2 linked regions of the Mus musculus genome follow. The protein of the gene in region 2 purifies or fractionates together with the protein of the main gene of each other region. This does not show direct contact. Links are inferred from orthologs where the notes say so. Each region holds a gene or a part of one and is shown on either strand. Other genes may lie near its edges.

Evidence for each region.
Region 1: the proteins of Pomp (region 2) and Psmg1 purify together in Homo sapiens (affinity purification with mass spectrometry; 4 studies listed by BioGRID and IntAct, with this or other methods). This does not show direct contact. The link is inferred for Mus musculus from reciprocal best matches to the Homo sapiens genes POMP and PSMG1.

Annotation. Positions count from the first base shown.
Region 1 is NC_000082.6:95,985,135-95,995,014, reverse strand, and holds the start of Psmg1 (proteasome assembly chaperone 1), read left to right. Parts: upstream 1-4,054; 5' UTR 4,055-4,124; coding exon 4,125-4,261; intron 4,262-5,416; coding exon 5,417-5,523; intron 5,524-6,903; coding exon 6,904-7,055; intron 7,056-7,659; coding exon 7,660-7,722; intron 7,723-9,880. Other genes in the region: Brwd1 (bromodomain and WD repeat-containing protein 1), read left to right, coding at 1,038-1,417. UniProt on the Homo sapiens protein: Chaperone protein which promotes assembly of the 20S proteasome as part of a heterodimer with PSMG2.
Region 2 is NC_000071.6:147,856,084-147,865,935, forward strand, and holds the start of Pomp (proteasome maturation protein), read left to right. Parts: upstream 1-4,544; 5' UTR 4,545-4,605; coding exon 4,606-4,608; intron 4,609-6,469; coding exon 6,470-6,567; intron 6,568-9,852. UniProt on the Homo sapiens protein: Molecular chaperone essential for the assembly of standard proteasomes and immunoproteasomes. Degraded after completion of proteasome maturation. Mediates the association of 20S preproteasome with the endoplasmic reticulum.

The sequences.
Region 1 (9,880 bases), on a different chromosome or scaffold from region 2:
GCTTTCCAGCCATCCTTGAACATTGCTGAGATCTGTGACAGGGACCTGTCTGCCTCTTCAGTGGGCTGTTTGCCTAGCTTCAGGTTCTGACAACCCCCTTCACAATATTTAGCTCAGCAGAAATGTACTTCCTTAAAGGAACCCTTCCGTGAGTCCATAGTACAGGTGCCAATGCTTGTGGATTGCTAAGACACCCACACACAGGCAGGCAGAAGGACTCTGTCTGCTAACCACACACAGGCAGGCAGAAGGACTCTGTCTGCTAACCACACACAGGCAGGCAGAAGGACTCTGTCTGCTAACCACACACAGGCAGGCAGAAGGACTCTGCGTCTGCCATGAGCTTGAGGTTGTGGGTTCCCAGCTCTGTAAAGCGATGTTGGAGAGAAGGTAAGGTTGAGGCCATGCTAAACTTTGTCGAGTCAGTAGAGTTTCCTTTTGTACCGACTCGGCAATTTAACCACTTGAATAAAGGAGATGCTGGTGCTGGACTCCATTGTCAGGAAGTGCTTCCTTACTAGGGTGCTGGGAAGTTACTTCAGAGTGCTACAAAATATTTCACAGTAATTTGAAGTACAATTAAAAATGAAGCTCAGAAGTGGGAACACATGATTCTCTTCTCTCCTTTTCTCTCTTTGATTTCCTAGACATAATTTCTCTGTGTAGCCCTGGCTGTCCTGAAACTGTAGAGCAGGCTGGTCTCAAACTCAGATCTGCCTACCTCTGTCTCTCCAGTGCTGGAACTAAAGATTTGTACCGCCGCCGCCACCACCAGGCTGTGCTCCTCTTAAATCCAAACATTTTAGGTGAGTAGCTTTATGAGGCTGAAAGTTTTCACTTCATTCTTGCAAGCCATTACTTAGAAATGACAGTGGTTGGTCCGTATAGGGAAGCATATGGAAGCCATAAGCCTGTCAAACCAGCTTTTTAATTGTTCACATAATTAAGACCGGCTCAGGGCTGTTGTTGAGGAATGTATATAGTACAGTCTTGTGACAAGATTTCTGTATTTACATGAATTTTCACTCATTTTTCAGAATCTGTTCGTAAAGACAGAGAACCCCATACAAAAATGAGACCATGTATGCTTAATGAGAAGGATGCAGTACAGATGCATAGTGACACCCTGAAAGCAAAAACGGTGCCTGAGAAAGTCCCCCGCAGATGTGCTACCGTTGCTGCAAATAAAATAAAGATGATGTGTAATCTAAAAGAAGTGGTCTCAGGACCAGAGAATGTCGGCATTAGGACGATCAGCAGAAAACTGCCCTATCGACAAGCCTCTGCTGCAGCTAAGAAAAAGTTACTGAGTGTTTATAAAGAGGATGATGCACCCATACATTCAGAGAACGAAAAGGAGCTATATCTTAGGCGGTTCAGATCCCGGAAGGAAAAAGCCCAGCCTACTCCGAGGTAGAAAGGTTACCGGGAATTGTCAGCAGCTCCAATGCCTGCCCTGAAGTCCGCTCCCAACCATAAGCCGTCCCAGCACCTTTTGAACAATTTTGTGAAAGCCATTACTCTGGGTCAAAGTGGGATGATGGCTTCCAGTTAGCTCTACACAGCACAGCATAGGGTGTTCCAAGGAGGTAGGAGATGTGGATTGTGTTGTCAGGTGAGAAAGCAGAAGGACCCACTGAATGTAAAGCAAAGGCTTGACGCAGCTTGGTCCTCTAGAGAAATAAAAGCATGTGGGATATATGGGGAAACAATGCTAATTTCAATGGTTTGCCCTCACAGACTGAAAACTAGGCCATTTCCAAAGGAGGGAGCAGTAAGCCCATGTGACTGCTGAATTTTAACTGGGTCTGATTTATGTAGTGCACATCCCTGGGAACTGAGAGAGTAAATCCTGGGGTGTTACTGACTTCTGAAGAGGAGTGTGGGAAAGACTGTCATTAATGTCTTATTTATAACATTGGAATTCATACTGAATGATAGCTACCTGGTATGAGTAATTCAGGGAATGTATCTTTCTAAGAAAGTTCTCAATGTGACTATTACACTTTATTTCTTCTATGTAGCAGCAAAGATGTAAAGGCCAGACTTGTGGTCAGAAATTAGAACAAGATGCACTCATCGCTTAAGGTGATGCAGTTGGATCCTATTTCTTACGTTTCTCTGCTGTTCCTTAGAAGTTAGAATGTGACACTGCAGGTTCATTTCAGGCTCACTAACAAGCCAAGTGTCGGGGAGTCTGGCCTCTGGTCGTTGTGCTACAAATGTTTTGCCTACAGAGGATGTGGACTTTAGTTCGTTGTTCATGGCTATTTGTTGACATTAAGGTCACCAGATGTGACCTGTGAATGTACTGTCAAGTCTTTTTATCATGTTACTGGAGAAACTTGTCTTCAACAGTTTGTTTTTCCAATTAAAAATAGCTGTGACTATTAGGCATAACTTGCATGTATAAATCAAAAAAACAATGGAACCTAGGGGTGTGTATTTTTCATTAACAGTAATGCACATTTTTTTCAGTTATATGTATGGCCAAAGTGTCCAGATTACTTGAGAAACTTGTTTGTGGTTGCATGCCTGCTTAAAACAAAAACACAACTCAGAATTCTAACATAGTGTGTGTCTTTTTGTAACTCACTCTGAAATCTTCAGCATCTTGCTACAAGCACAGGAAGAGTTCCCTTCCTCCTCTTTGGTGCATGGGTTTGGTTTATTTATTTATTTATTTTGAGCTTTAATGAAAAATTTAAATGTCCAATCCCAAATGTCATAGAATTACTTATTGAGCAATTATATCCTCAAGAAATGCCATGAAATGAAAATATATCAGTCTAATGAAGACCTGTGAATTTTGGCAGTGTGAATTGAAGATCTGAAGTTACATCTTGCTGTCTGATCCTGTCCAGCCTTTTATAATGGAATCCCTTTCTGGCCTTTAATTGGAACATATTTTTATTTACCCTTTAAAGTGTTTGGTCTCTTTATTGTGACTGAATGGAGTAACACTGTAGTAAAATCCCTCCTGCAAATGTGTGCCGACAAGCCACCACTTCCCTATGATTTACCAACACGCTTCAGATTTCTGTTGGTGCTTTTTTCATGTGTGAGTGAGAAATCAAATCGAGTATCTTTATCAGCAAAGTATCCGCTTAAGAAACCAGCAAAGAGACAGCCAGGGACATCTGCTCTTCAGCTCGCTTCTACTAACCCTGGAATCTGAGTCTTAAAGACACCACACTGAGAATCTTGTGTGTGTGCTATAGTTACACACAAAGTGTTCTAGTTGGTATACATCTGCTTTTTATTTATTTCTTTGGTTTTTCTAGACAGGGTTTCTCTGTGTAGCCAAAGGATGTCCTGGAGCTCCCTCTGTAGACCATGATGGCCTTGAACTCAGAAATCCATCTGCCTCTGCCTCCCGGGTGCTGGGATTAAAGGTGTGTGTCACCACTGCCCGGCATTCATCTGCTTTTTATTAACCAGTGAGTATGTATGTTAAGATTGATATGCTTTTTCCTCCCAGTAGACTTGAAGCATCGTTTTTCTACATTGTGAGAGATTTTTAAACAACTTTCCAAGAGTTTTGATTTTTAAAGGACCCTCTGATCCCCAAACATTTTACCCTGGGCAATGCAGTCTCCATTTCCTCACAAGCAAATCTAGAATGTGTTTTTATTTCCCACTGAGGTGCCAGTTACCCTTTTTCTCGTGGGAGCAGCATTCGGTGGAGCTCTTTGTCTTCCAGCACACAAACCAGAAACACACATTCTTCCTGTCATTAAAGTAGAAAACACGGTCTATGAGTTACATATGGCCAGGTTTTAAAAAGCCTAGCCTTGCAGCCTCACTCATGTTCTCTGAATCCGCTTGCAGTCATCAACCCTGGAGCTGTCTGTGCTTCACCCGCAGCTCTGGGTTTCCTCCACGGGTGGGTCCTTGCAGGAGGGTCGCCGGGTGTGGAGCGGGCGCTGCGTGCCCCGGTTAACAGGATGACGGAAGCGCGCCGCGGGACATTTCTCGCGGCGGACCGGAAGCTCTTAGGTTCTCCCCCCTCCCCCCACGGAAGGCGTATCCTCGCTCGGAGGCGGGGTGGGGGCGTGGCTTGGAGGGGGCGTGACTGCGGGCCGGCGCGCATGCGCTGTCTGGCCGCGCGGAGCTGAGGGACCATGGCTGCCACGTTCTTTGGCGAGGTGGTGAAGGCGCCGTGCAGAGCTGGGACTGAGGAGGAAGAAGAGGAGGAGGAGCAGAGCAGGCGGGACACGCCGGAGGACCGGGAGGTCCGGCGGCAGCTGGCGCGGAAGAGGTCAGGCTCCCGGAAGGCTGCGAGCGTCAGGCGGTGTCGGCCTGCAGGGTGCCCTGCGTTCACGCTGGGACGTCGGCAGCCCAGCGATGCTCGCCCTCCACCGTGCACTTTAGGTCACGCCGCATGTCGGCCGTATTTCTTTCAAAACTACTTTCAGACACAGAAGTCAGGTCACGCCAGCCCCTTCCTTGGTCAAGGTTTTACCACATTCATTTCCTCTCCCACCACCCCTACGAGTTTCCGATTAGGACTCCCCACACGTCTTCCTAAGCATGCTGTCTCAATTATTTGTACTCTAGAGCAAACCCACACATAAAATATGCACATAATTAAACTTTGTTGATTCTCCTATTTTTTCAGTACCTCCATTCTGAGCTTTTAGGCGGGTTCTCGGATCAGAACTTGGGTCGTCATGTTTGTGTTGGCAACTTAGCACCTTCCCTACCCCACGTTTGCTAATAACACGTTTTCAGTATCATACCAGTCCACAGTCAAATTCACCTAGATTTTTAAAATACACTTCCCGGTGATTGTGTCAACGACAGACACTTTTGGCAGTTCGTTTCATTTGACAGCTCCCTCTCACTTCTCACACTCTTCCCGAGAGCCCTGATTTGTCTGATGGTCAGTCTTAGCTTACTTTTGCCACAGCTAAATGCTTGAACGTTTGTTTGAAGTCTTGGTCACATTCAGCATTTTGCGGGCTGGAGTGTTGGAGATGCTTTTAGTGTCTTTTTACATTGTGTCTGGCTTGTGGGTGCTGGCATTGTGTGTGTCAGGCTAGTATGAAGTTTGTTAGTAGTTTTACTCATAAAAAGAAAGTGTTTTATCCATTTGCAAGGGCACCAAGGACACTGATTATTTTATCTAACACCATCTATCCATCCAACTATCCACTCATCTCTGTCTTCTATCACCTACCTATTTATCCATCCATGTATATGTAAATATAGCACCTTTCTACTACCCATATAAATATCTATAAGTAACATGTCTACCATCGATCTCATCTGTCTTCCATCTATTTATACATCCAGCTCTATATAGCACCTATCACTTAATCTCTTAATCTGACTGTCATTCTGCCCATCACCATCTCTTACAGTGAACTGGTGGTCACAGTCATATTTGTTCACTTTTGTCTCTTGCTGTTAGGGAGGTTCGGCTTCTCCGAAGACAGACAGAAACATCTCTGGAGGCTGTGCTCCTAGAGACACACCCTTGCTCCAAGTTTATAATTGCAGTAGGAAGCAACGCAACAGGTAAGTGCCAGTGTCAGGAGTATATGTCCCGTTGGAAGAATGGACTCGAAGGTCCTTCTGCATGTATCTTACGTATTTTAAAAAGTTCACAACAGGTCCTGGGCATGTGGCTCAGGTGATAGAGTGCTTGCCTGTCAATCACAAGACCTTGGGTTTGAATCCCAGTACCATGTGAACTGGGCACAATGAAATCCGAGCACTCAGCAGGTGGGAAGTGGCAGAAGAGAGCATGAAGAAGTTCCAAGGCCAAGATGGGCTCCGTGAAGCCTGTCTTCAAAAGCCACAGTCGTTTTACTTCATGTAGGATAGATTGCCTGTTCTTTCCATCTTTGTAATGAGATTTAAAGGAAATATGCTTAGCTTCAGAATTACAGTTCAAGGCCCTGTTTTCCAGTTTGTTATGGTGTCCACAGGTCTAGCAGTAATTGCTTACATCTGGAACACTTCAGTTCTAAGGTCTTTGAATGCACTTATTGACCTGGTAGGTTCAAAGTAGAGTAATGTGAGTTTACTTGGATCAGTGTTGTATGTCAGTACACATGGAGATCTTTATAATTTCACTGGGTTTGCAGTCTCTGAGGAGATCATTTGAGAACTCTAGTTAGGAGCTCTTGCCCTGTAAGTGAGCCGTAGTACTTAGAGACTGTGTAAGTAGGCAGTAGACTCGCCCATTATATAAAGGTCTGCTTGCCTAATTGTTTTTAGAAGAATCTTACATTGTGAGACTGGTGCAGAGTCTGTGGACAAGTCCACTCCCTGTGTGTAGTTCTTTGTGGAGAGTGGAGACTTTTCACTCCTCAGCCTCAAATTTTGTTGGCTCCAAAGTGGTCCAATTAGAAGGTCTTTAATGTTTTAAAAAGAAATTTATGCCAGGTGTGGTGGTGCACTCCTTCAATCCCAGCACATGGGAGGAAGGACAGGTGGACTTCATGAGTTCAAGGCCAGCCTAGTCTACAGGTTGAGTTCTAGGACAGCCAAGGCTACCCAGAGAAACCTTGTCTTAAAAAACAAAACATCAACAAAAAAATTTAAATCCGTGCTTTTTTTTTTGTTTGTTTGTTTTTTCGAGACAGGGTTTCTCTGTATAGCCCTGGCTGTCCTGGAACTTACTTTTGTAGACCAGGCTGGCCTCGAACTCAGATATGTGCATATTTTTATGTGTGGGTTTGCTTTGGAGTATAAGCTAGAGGAGGGCATCAGCTCTCCTAGAGTTGCGAGTCACCAGGGGGAGGGCGCTAGGAACCAAGCTGGGGCACAGGAGCAGTAGTCAGTGTGAACTCTAGATGGGTCAGTGTGAACTGTTTTCGGGTAGCTGAGCTTTGGTTTGAGTGGGTAGTTCACACAGCAGACACCGGTTCACGGGAACATTTCTCTCCACAGCATTCCTGTCAGCGTTTGTTATGAACTCGGGAGTCTGGGAAGAAGTCGGTTGTGCTAAGCTCTGGAATGAATGGTGCAGAACTACAGACACTGTCCGTCTGTCCCCTACAGATGTTTTCTGTGTGTTTTATCAACTGAAATCAGATCCCTCGGTATGTGAGACTTGACTTAGTATTCTTGAAACATGGTCATGTAGGCACGAGCCCTCGATAGTAAGCAGATTCTCATGCCAGGCCTCTGTCACCCAGGATATTCTCTGTCCTGATACTCATTTCTAATGTCTCAGTGAATTTTAGGCCTCACTCTTAAATGTTAGAATCAACAGAGGAGCAGACTGCTGTGTCCCGGCCTCTATTGCTGTAACAAATGCCTAAAAAGCAATCAGCTTACAGAGAGAAAAGGTTGATTTTTGGCTTGCAAGGTTCGAAGTTCCAGTGCGTGACCGGGGCAGACCCTTTGCTCACAGGCCTGCTGGGGTGGGGAGAGCTAGTGCTTCTTGGCAGGACTGCGCAGGGGCGGCACAGCCCAACCCAAGGCCAGGAGCAAAGGAGCAAAAGGGAGAGATGGGTGTCACACCCTTTCACGGACACAGCTAATGACCAGAGGCTCTTGGCCCTTTTGAGTGAACACATGGGCCTCTGGGGGACTCCGTCTCCATAGAGCGATGTCCATCACTGGTACTTAGGAGGTGCTCATATGACGACGGGGCCAGGTGTGTGTGCACTTTATGTGAGAACTCTTGAAATTCCCTTTCAGGTTTTTCTATGTCAGTGTAGCTGCTACATTGCTGAGGATCAGCAGTTCCAGTGGTTGGAGAAGGTAAGAGGAGGAAACCCGGATCCACTAGACAGGCGTGTGCTGGCCAATCTCAGGGGCTGGAGTCAGATACTAGATAAGAATTTGTTTCTTTAAGATAATATTGTGGGAGTTATGGAGTGTTTGGTTTTTGTTTGTTTGTTTGTTTGTTTGTTTGTTTAAAGGAAAGTTTTTAGCCAAGTGATGGTGGTGCACACCTTTAATCCCAGCACTCGGGAGGCAGAGGCAGGTGGATCTCTGGGAATTCAAGGCCAGCCTGGTCTACAGAGCAAGTTCCAGGATAGCCAGAGCTACACAAAGAGCATCAGGGGCCTTGAAGGAGTAGCCACTACCACACTCCTAGTACCACTCCTCTATTTCTTAGCATTAGGTGTGGTTACAAGCCATTTTGGAAAACTGAATTCAAGGACTTAAGAGAAATCCATTACATATTGGGCATGCCTTCTCTAGGATGTTTGAGACTAGAAATGTTTTATATTTCTTTTTTTAGTTTTGGAATATTTGTTCATACAGAATGACACATCTCAGGGCTAAGTCTCAAGTTTAAACACGAGTTCATGTTTTATATATAGCTTAAACATTTTAGTTTGAAGTGAAGTTTCATGGTATGAAGTTTTCCACGTGGCTTGTCATTAGGCAGGCAAAGGTTTTGGATTTTGGGTTGGGAATACTCACTGTATCCATACTTTATCCATAGTGCATGCATTACTCCATGGCTGGCATAGACTTACTTTCAGTAGAAGCACAATTGTATATGTGTGGACAGCGTGCAGCAGTCAGATGATGACTGGCACGCCCAGAGTCTTCAACACTTACCACTTACTCCACCTGCTAGTGAGGAGGACTTTATAAAAACATCTCTGTCCACTTGAACGTACATACTAAAATGAAACTCATTGGAAATAAAATTTTCATGTGCACCTATTTTAAAGCAGTTGACCTTCTTAAAAACATTCATTAAATTATCAGTGTGCTCATTTATGTGATCTGTATCCTGTTCTTTAATTTGTATGTGTATACTCAGGGTACAGGAATGTATTTTCTGGGGTGAAAAGAGCAAAATGTTTAGTTTTACTTTTAAATTATGCAGGATGGTGGTTATATAAAAATATTATTACCCTTGCACAGTAGAAAAAAATTAACACATTCAAGACTTGAAGAGCTATCAAATTAGGCATTTTTAAATAAAAAATATTATATATATGTGTGTGTGTGTGTGTGTGTTTTGCTTATATGTATAGCTATGTACCATGTATATGTCTAATGCCCTTAGAAGTTAGAAGAGGGTATCAGATCTCCTAGAACTGTAGTCCCTGACGGCTGTGAACTGCCATCTACATCCTCGGAGCAACAAGTACTCTGAACCTCACAGCGGTCTCTCCAGTACTCAGATTATACAGTTTTAAAGTGAAGGGTTTCTTTTTATGTTCCTATTTAATTTTATTTTATTTGGGCTTTTATTTTTAGATTCTTGCTAAATAGCCCAGGCTGGCCTTGAACTTAAAACTTTTTCGGTTTTGACCTCCTCAGTGCTGAGATGATAGGCGTCTGCTATCAAGTGAGGGCTTTTTTGGTTTTGGTTTTGGTTTTTGTCATTTTTTTTTTTTTTCTGAGACAGGGTTTCTGAGGTGTATACTTCATATACTTCATATTCTTCATTTTCTTTGGGACCCCTGCAGTGTTGGTGATAGCCAAATCCTCATAGTGACACACAGCCTGACAGCTATGTGTTCAGACCAGAAATATAGAGAAAGGAAGGAAGCCATGTTGTGAGTTTTCTTTCTTTCTTAAATGAATGAAGCAGCATTGCTTTAGTATTTACTTCCAAACTGTCAAATCACTTACGTTACCTGAAACAGAACTTTAGTTTTCCTATTATTATTGGCTCCAGCCATTTATTACATCATTAAATATTTCAGATAAGTCAGACATGGTGGCAAACACTTGGGCTAGTTACCTTTTGTTGTGAAAACAATATATCAACGAAAAGCAAAGTAGAGGAGAAAGTGGTGTTTCGGTTTATACTTGTAGGGGGACAAAGTCTGTCCTGGTGGAGAACGTGGGACAGCAGGCAGGGAAGGCACAGTGTCAGGAGCAGGGGGCTGGCTGACCACAGTTTTATTCACACATAGGAAAGAGAGAGTGAACAGGATGTGGGAAC
Region 2 (9,852 bases):
TGTGGAGACACAGGAGGATCAGCACAAATGTGGAGACACAGGAACGGAGTGAGCTGATGTATAAAGTTGCTTTAGTAGTTTAATTACCATTTTAATATTTTTAAAAAAGAACTATAGACCTTCTCAAAAGGAGTGAAATGACTGATAAACACTTTTAAAAGTTTTCAGCATCAGCAGCCCCTAGGGAAATGCAAATTTAAGCGACTAGAGAGTCCACTTCAGCTCACTTGGAACAGCTGAGCTCAAGACGACAAAGGACAGGCCCAGCATGGGGGCTCTGGTCTTTAATGCCAGCACTCTGGAGGTAGAGGCAGGCTGGGATCTCTGAGAATCTAAGGTCAGTGGGGTCTCTGTAGTGAATTCCAGGACTTCCAGGGCTACACAGTGAGACCCTGTCCAGACAACCAAACAAATGACTGCAACTGGTGACAGATCGTCAAGAGACTGTGGCCACTGTGGAAATAAATCAGCGTGGGGATTCCTCAAAAGTCTAGAAATAAGAACTGGAGAGATGGCTCAGTGGTTAAGGGCACTTGCTCTTAGAGAAGCCCCAGGCTCAACTCCCAGCACCCCCGTGGCAGCTCACAACCACCTGTCACTCCAGTTCCGGGGAATCCAGCGCCCTCCTCTGGACTCTGTGGGTATTAGGCATGCATATGGTATGTATACATACATGTGAGCAGAACACTCAATAAATATAAAATAAAATGAGAAGCCTTTCATCTGGAAATAGAACTATCACAGCATCCAGCCAGACCATTACTGGCAACACCCAATGGTCTCTATCTTCCAGAGATACTTGCTCATCTGGGCTTCCTGCTCGTAATAGCTAGGAAATGCAACCGGCCTGTGAGTCCACCGGGGGATAAATGGGTAATGTAAATGTGGCACATACGCACAACGGAATTTTATCTAGCCATAAAGGAAAAAAAATGAAATTATGAAATCTGCATTTTAGATGCATGGAGCTAAAAGCTATTATACTATCCGAGGTAAGCCAGGCACAGAAAGACAGACAGCATGTGTCCCTCCCAGTGGATCCTAGTCTTGACTGTTCAGATGTGTGCGTTTAACTGAGAGAACGTGCAGAGTCCTGTAAGCTACAAAGGGGCCACTGAGGCGGGGATGCCCAAAAGAGGCGGGGACAGTGGAACGAGGGTAACCTGGAAGCAGAGGACAGATACGGGCGTGGAAGCGTTCTAATAGGGATGAGGGAGAGGTTGGAGGAGGCAAAAGGATGAGGTAGGGGCCACCTAAATCAAAGGCTGTATAAAAAAGCCACAGGGAAGCCTACTGTCGTGTAAGTCAATGGCAATGGATATGCTTTTAAAAAGAGCTTGCAGATATCCTGCATGGCTGGAGAAGACTGCTCTTAGAAGCCATGGGTCATTTTAAAAAAAAAAAAAATCCCAGTGCCGGGTGTGGGATACCTTTTTATGCATTGTTCAAAAACAAGGTTGCAGATGACCCCCTCCCCCCAACAGTTCATGTCCTGTCATTCCTCTTGGTTGTCCACCAGAACTAGACATTAAGAGCTTATTGATGAAGATACCACACACTTCCATCTTCAGATCTAAGAGAAATCAAGCTGGAGGCTTCCTTCCTGTGGGCTAGCTTTTATAGTACTAGAGTACTATACAACTATATAACTGTTTGAGATAGATGTTACCGTCGCCTCGTTGTAGACGTGAGAAAACAAAGACATGTTAAGTAAATATACCCAAGGAGACATGTTAAGTAAATATACCCAAGGACCCAGCCTGAGTTCAGAGTTGCTCCAAATACTACACTGTATTGCTTTAAGTGTTAAAATAAATGGTCCTGTGTTTGGCCACCACGACTTAAGCCACCATTACTTAAGGCAACGACTTTAAGACTCACTGGGCCAATAGTCAAAGGATAAGAGCTGGCTCATTTGGTAGTAAAGTATGTCTTAGTTAGGGTTTCATTGCTGTGAACAAACACCAAGACCAAGGCAACTCTTAAAAGGACAACATTTGGGCTGGTGAGATGGCTCAGTGGGTAAGAGCACCGGACTGCTCTTCCGAAGGTCCGGAGTTCAAATCCCAGCAACCACATGGTGGCTCACAACCATCCGTAATGAGATCTGACTCCCTCTTCTGGAGTGTCTGAAGACAGCTACAATGTACTTACATATAATAAATAAATCTTAAAAAAAAAAAGGACAACATTTAATTGGGGCTGGCTTACAGGTTCAGAGAGTCAGTCCATTATCATCAAGGCAAGAACACAGCAGCATCCAGACAGGCGTGGTGCAGGAGGAGCTGAGAGTTCTGCATCTTCATCTGAAGGCTGCTAACAGAAGATTGGCTTCCAGGCAGCTAGGGTGAGGGTCTTAAGCCCATGCCCACAGTGACACACCTACTCCAACAAGACCACACCCACTCCAACGAGGCCACACCTCCTAATAGTGCCACTCCCTGGGCCAAGCATATACAAACCATCACCGTATGTAAAGGAGAATTATTAGACCTGCCCATGCAAACAATGAACTGGGTGTGTGTGTGTGTGTGTGTGTGTGTGTGTGCATATTGAGCCCAAATCAGAAAATGCTGGGAACTGAACATAGATCTTTTTTCATTTTTCTAGCCCTTATAACTGCAGCTTAAGAAAAAAAAATCTCAGGGCATCATGGCCCATGCCTGTAATGGTAGATTCAGGAGACAGAGACAGGAGGATTATGAGTACACACTCACGTTCAGACACAGAGTGAGCTGGTGGGCAGTGTGAGCTACTGGAATCCTACTTCAAAAACATAATCATTTAATGTTTGTTGACTGCACATGCTGAGTGATACAGAGTCAGTCCTGAACACTTGCTGAACATTTCTTTTAGTACTGGGCAATGAAATTATAAAAAAAGGAATTTCCTTACGTGTGAGATGCTGGAATTTTCCTGGAGGAACAGATATGTAAATAGATATCTTAAATGCACTTAACAAAGAAAGGGCTCATGGGATCAGGCCAAAGACATGTTGGTATGGTGATGGTCTTTGGTTTTATGTATCTGTGTACATGAGTACAGTTCAAGGCCAGAAGAGGGCATTGGATCGTCTTAAGCTGAGTTACAGATGGCTTTGAGCCTCCTGATGAGAGTGATGTGAAAGGAACCCGGGTTCTCTGAGAGGAGACAGTCTGGGCATATCAGTGAAGTCATTTACATCATTTTAAAAATGATGTACCCTGAATGTGGGAGGCGCCATCCCATAGGCTGGGGTCCTAGGCTGAGTAACAAGACAAAAACAAGAGGACGACATTCATTTCTCTCTGCTTCTGACTGCAGAACCCAAGTGACCAGCCGCCTCATCCTCCGGCCAGCACAGCTAAGACCTGTTTTGTCTTCTTCTCCTTCGTGCTATGCCATACTCTCATAATGTGAGCAACAGGGCTGGAGAGATGGCTCCGCGGTTAAGAGCATCTGTTGCGTCCCTTTCCCAGCACCCAGAGGGTGGTTCCCAACCATCTACCTATAACTCCAGTCCTATAAGACCCTAAGACTCTTTCGTGTTGGCAAACACCGCTAATGTTGCAAAAGAGTGTGAGGGCACCAGGCACACACCTGATGCACACGCAGACAGTCAAACAAAACGTTTTAGAGGAATCCTTTAAAAATTAATTTTAAAAAGCTTAATGAAAAGCCGGGCGTGGTGGTGCACGCCTTTAATCCCAGCACTTGGGAGGCAGAGGCAGGCGGATTTCTGAGTTCGAGGCCAGCCTAGTCTACAGAGTGAGTTCCAGGACAGCCAGGGCTACACAGAGAAACCCTGTCTCGAATAACAAAAAAAAAAAAAAAAGCTTAATGAAAAGACTTAGGGAGATGACTCATGTACAACATGTAGAACCACGTTATTTGTAATTCTAAGAGCCTGACATACGTTAGCTCTGATGACCCTGACTTAAAATTGTCACCACCACCACCCCCATGTCACCGAAAAGGACTTAGTCCCAGGGAACCTCCCAAGTCTTTGCTGTCTTCCAGTCTGGCCACACTGACCATATCGCCGCCTTCTGCCTCCCGCTTTTAAGTTGCTTATTATGAACGAACCGGTGGCCAGACCTGACTTGGGACTCAGGTTGTGATTGCCCCCCAAGTTCGGAAATATCCACACCCCACAACCCTGGAGCCCGCCTCTGCCTGAGGCTCGGTGCCTAAGCTAGCTTGGTCCTTTCCTTAGGTTCTACACATACCCAGCCTCGGACCTTCGATTTATAAAACCGTAAAGGCCTGTTGTCCCACTTTTGACTCAGCAGAAGGACTTTATGTAAATCACCACCGTGCGTCCTTGGATGGCCCGTGGGAAGTCTGTGCATTTGCACACGCCCATCTAACACCGTCCCGCGAGGCCAGGGCCAGTGCACACCCGAGCTGCGCCCTTGGCCCTCGCTCACCGGGGGACAGCGAGCGTGGGAGCCCCGGCCCAACGCTACTCCCTGCTCCTCCCACGCCCCCTTTCCTTCCTGGCCGGAAGGACGCACTTCCGGCGGATGGGGCGGAGGGGTGGGCGTCTCGGCCCCGGAAACGGAAGTGAGCGGTTTGGCCGGCGGACTCGAGCAGGTTTATAGATCTCACAGAGCTGTTTCAAAGATGGTGAGTGAGCGCGGAGGGCCGCCGTCGCGGCGGGTACTCGTGGTGCGGGCACGATCGCGACTGCCCGGTCCCGGCGGGTGTCTGACGTGGGCGGGACCCGGGCTGCACTCTCTCGGGTGGTCCTGGCTCCGATCGGACGGCGCGGGTCAGTTCCCCGGGCCTCCCAGGCCACAGCGCCCCTTCCCAGCAGTGGAGGCGGATGCACTCCATGCACTGGGCACCTCCGAAAGCCAAGCCTTGTGTGCGTGTTGGGACACGCCACGTGCCTTCTCCCTTAGGGTGACTGCACCCCTACACCCGCCAAGGCGCACGACCGCCCGTTGCATTCGTACAGCTCAGCCTCGGTTTACAAACATCTCTCTGTGTGCCATGTGTCGCTCCCGTTTTGTTCGTATAGTTAGTGCTTGAACTCCCTCGCATCCCCCTCTGGCCTCTCCTCCCCTTCTGGCCTCTCCTCCTGCCCCACTTTCTGTTTCTCTTTGAGCATAGTCCTGAGTCACTATGGCACTCCTCCGCACGCCATCTGCCCACGTCCAGAAAGCTTGGATTGGCAGAGACCGCTAACCAGTGTAAAGGAATGTGAGAAACGCTGAAATATGAATGGTTTTTAGGTCTTCATAGACTTAACTTGTATCTGACACTGAACTAGAACCTTAAGGAGTCCTCATATTTTACAAAAGGACACCGGGACGATAGTAACAGCAATACTAGAGTTCAGAATTTCCCCTTTGTGTGTAGCGAAACTTCTCCTTTGGTGCTTTTCAGTACATCTGTCCCCAGGAGAACACTGTACTGTAGTGGTGTCAGTCAGCATTGGGACAGCTATAATCATAGACAGGGCCAGTCCTGGAAGTCTGTGCTTGACTGGCAGTCACGGAGTAGGTGACTGTCCAGGATAGATTACCTGTTGTCTTCCTGATCCCCGTGGTTTCCTGTGTGAAGAGTGGGGACACCAACAGTACCAGGCCCTTGAATTATAGAGTTGGAGCCCCGAACTCTATTTCTCAGATGTTAATGAGGTCTAGAAGGAGATTGTTAGCGATTTTGTTGGTGAGGTGGTGTGTTTTGGGGAAACCTTGTGCAGAATTGGGGAGACTGGTGAGGCTCAAGCAAGACCCAGTTGGGGCTGCTGACATTCCCCCCCATGCGAGCTGCCAGGTCAAATACACAGGTGAAGTAAGTCTATCAACTAGCTGCTTTCTCAGAATTGTTTGGTCTAGACTAGTAACAGAGACCAGGTCACCTGTATCTAAGCAGTTTGTGCTGTCAGATGTCGGGTGACAGTGACAGTTCCAAAGGAGCTGTTTTTAGCCTTTTGCACTGTTTCAACTAGCTGCATTTATTTTTAATCATAGAAGACAGCTCCTCCCCCTTTCTGTCAGATCCTATGACCTCATGTCTAGGTGTCATGCCGTAATTCCACCTCTGGTATTATATTTGACCTGCCTGTTCCCTGGGGTTCTGTCCTCAGCCTTTTCATTGGGTTAAAACACTACAGCCAATGGGAAGGTTCTTTCCAGTGAAGCAGATCTGGCTGATCATACCAAGATTAGGGTAAAGCTCAAGTTTTTTGGTACATACGACTGTCCACCTTTGAATTTTACCCCTTCAATCATGTCAGTCATCTCAAACTGGCCGTAGTTTGTCTTCATTCCTTTTCTTTTTCTTCATACGATGCTCTCCCTGCTGCCACATTTAGAAGTCAGAGCAGGAGTCTTTCTACCTTCGGATGCGGTGCTCAATGTACCCCGTGCGCTGGCTACCGCAGCACTTAAGGCTCTCTCTGTAGATCCTGGGTTCCTTAAGGGCACGGTTCTTAGCGCCTCTGTCCTCTAACCAGCGCATTGACTTTGTGTTGTAGAACGCCAGAGGTCTTGGGTCGGAGCTGAAGGACAGTATTCCAGTCGCGGAGCTCTCAGCCAGCGGGCCTTTCGAGAGTCACGATCTTCTCCGGAAAGGGTATGTCGGGGAGCTGGGGCTGTGTCTCGCTCGTTCTCACGAAGCGCTTCTTGTGGATTCTCTCCAAGGTGCTCTCCCTGGAAGGCTGTAAATGTGTATTTGATTCTTGCATGTTCCTTGTAGCTGGAGAACTCTTGTAGCAGAATAACAGCATGCGGGCTTGCAGGAAGGGGGTCCTCCTAGTGTCTGGGACTATTGGTAGGATTCTCTGGGCTCGTTTGATGAGGGAGCTAGCCCTGGAGTTTGAACCTAGGGTGTCGTATAATGGGAAGCAAGCGCTCTACCTCTGAGATCTATAGCCCTAGCCCTTAGTTTAGTAGGATTCTTACTGCTCGTAACTCAGCCGTTGACCTCTCGATGCTACTGACTGCAGGAGACACGAAAATATAGCATTTATATAGCAGTGGTTAACAAAGGACTGGGCAAGTATGACTTGAGTTTGGATCCCCAACACCCATTTAAGGGCAGGTCACCCTAGCCAGTTGATGGTCACTGTGCCAGTGAGAGCCTGCCTCAGAGCATAAGGCGGAGAGCAGCAGGGGAAGCACCACTGAATGTCAGTTCTGGCCTACATGAAACACACACACACACACACACACACACATGCACGCACGCACACACACATGAAACGCACACACACTCTGGCCTACATGAAACACACACACACACACTCTGGCCTACATGAAACACACACACACACACACTCTGGCCTACATGAAACACACACACACACACTCTGGCCTACATGAAACACTCACACACACACTCGAGCACACACACACACGTGCACACACGCACACACACACACACACACACACACACACACAGGAGAATCTCCGAATGTCAGACCTGGCATACATGAAACACACACACACACACACACCTCCTTAAGAAAGGATGGTGGCTGGGTGGCGGTGGTGCATGCCTTTAATCCCAGCACTTGGGAGGCAGAACTGTCCTGTGAGTTCCAGAACGGCCAGGGCTACATGGAAAGCCTGTCTTGAAAAGTCTCCCTCACCCCGTCCCACCCCACCCCTGAGAGACGGGGTCGGGGGGGGGGGGGGGGGGGGGGAGAAAGGATGGTGGGTATACACCGAGGAAACAAGGCCTTCTTTCCTGACACAGCAGTGCTAAAGCAAACATGAACTTGCAAAGCCTGTGGCAGGCAGCAGGCACAGAGCCGGCACAAGCCAGATGGGGTACCAGTGCTTAGGCAGGAAGTGGACAAAAGCCCCCGTCCATAACCTAGACGCTACACGTAAGGGCAGGCCAGACAAGCTCAGTGGAACTTCATTTTTTTCTAACTTAGAGATCTTTTGTTTATATGTTGTGGTTTCTGGCTTTGTGTTTTTATGAGATTACTGTGTGTGTAGAGGTTTGAGAAAACTCTTATTGTCAATAAGAATCAGAAAGGGAGGGAGAGAGGCAGAGACGGAGAGAGAAAGGATGACGTGCTGTGGCTGCTTGGTTTTGGGTCCCAGCTCTGTTGTCCCCTGGACGACGTCTTGTGACAGGTGCTCAGCGTTCCAGTCGGTGACCAGAGTGAACAGTACTTGTGTTACACAGTCGGAGCAAGGGAGTCAGTACCCGAGAACACGCACGTGTGCCCAGCTCGCTCTGGCACTTCGTGGTGGCTGCTTTTGTTTGTGTTCTCCAGCTCCCTGTCCTACCTGCTTCTGTGATTTCCTTCTTTAGACACCTGTTCCAGTCGTCTGCCCCTGGCACATCACTTTTCTGCTCATACAATACAAGGTCGATGTGACTTCCAGTGTATTTCCATCCTAACTGAAAATGCTGACTTTTCCTGCAGTAGAGTGGCATTCTGGCATCCTGGTGCTGAGGTCTGGGCACATACATAGTCCATTTTGGATTAGTAGGAAAGACACAGGATATGGCCTCTTGGAGTCATAATTTGATCTGTAGTAAAATTAATAGGCTGAGGGCTGGAGAGGTGGCTCAGCAGTTATAGTATTTGTTCTTCCTGAGGACCCTGGTTTAGTTCCCAGCAGCCCCATGGAGGCTCATAACCACCTGTAACTCCATTTCCAGGGAATCAGATGCCCTCTTCTGGCCTCTGTGGGAACCAGGGCAAACATGCACAGACAGTTTTTAAAGAAAATTAATAGGCTAGCCACCAGCTAGTCCTGCTGAGCCCCACCAACGACCGAACCCCTCCAGGAAATGTCATTTTTTTTCCCCAATTGTACAGGGAGACTGCACAGGAAGGCCGTTTTCATGTTCTCCCTCTCTGATGGCGATCTGTTCACAGTGCTCAGTGGGTGGCTGTGGCAGGGCTTGTAGGCTTTGGGGCCCTCAGACCCTGCTTTAGACAGTACTTAGCAGGACAGTGACCGTGGTCGGGTCCTAACTGTGGGTCTCTTAAGCATGTGGTTTGACATGTCTTTATAAAGGTACAGCACTGAAGGAAGAGTCTTAGCTAGCCTGTCTTAGGAGCAGCATCCCATCAAAGTGGCAGTAATATTAAACACATGCTTGTTGAGTTCTTGTAAAATAACTTAAACATTTTTACTAGAAGATTTAGGAGACAGAGGGATGGCTCAGTGGTTAAGAGCACTAGCAGTTTTTCTAGAGGACTGGGATTTATTTCCCAGCACCCACATAGCAGCTAACAACTGTCTGTAACTGCAGTCTTGGGAATCTGGTGTCCTCTTCTGTTCTCCAAGGGCATCAGACACACAGGTGCTACAAAGACAGACATACAGGCAAAACATCCATGCACATAATAAATATTTTAAAAATTAATTTACATGAGAACCCATGAAAGACATCAAAATAAACAATGAAACTCAGTGGGAACAGTTAAATGGTAAAAATATTGCACAGCTTTTCAGTGGCATTACTATCAGGGCTTTATTATAGATAGAGGACTGAGCTAGCATCCACGTTTGCAAAGCCTTTGTCTTAGGGTTTCACTGCTGTGAACAGACTCCAGGACCAAGGCAACTCATAGAAGAACAACATTTAATTGGGGCTGGCTTACAGGTTCAGAGATTCAGTCCATTATCAAGGCAGGAACATGGCAGCTTCCAGGCAAGCATGGTGCAGGAGGAGCTGAGAGTTCTACATCTTTATCTGAAGATTGCTAGTAGAATACTGATTTCCAGGCAGTTAGGAGTAGGGTCTTAAAAAGGCCAGGCCCACAGTGACACACCTACTCCAGCAAGGCCACACCTCCAAATAGTGCCACTCCCTGAGCCATGCATATACAAGCCATCACATTCTGCTCCCTGGCCCTCAAAGGCTTGTTCAAACACATGAATCTGT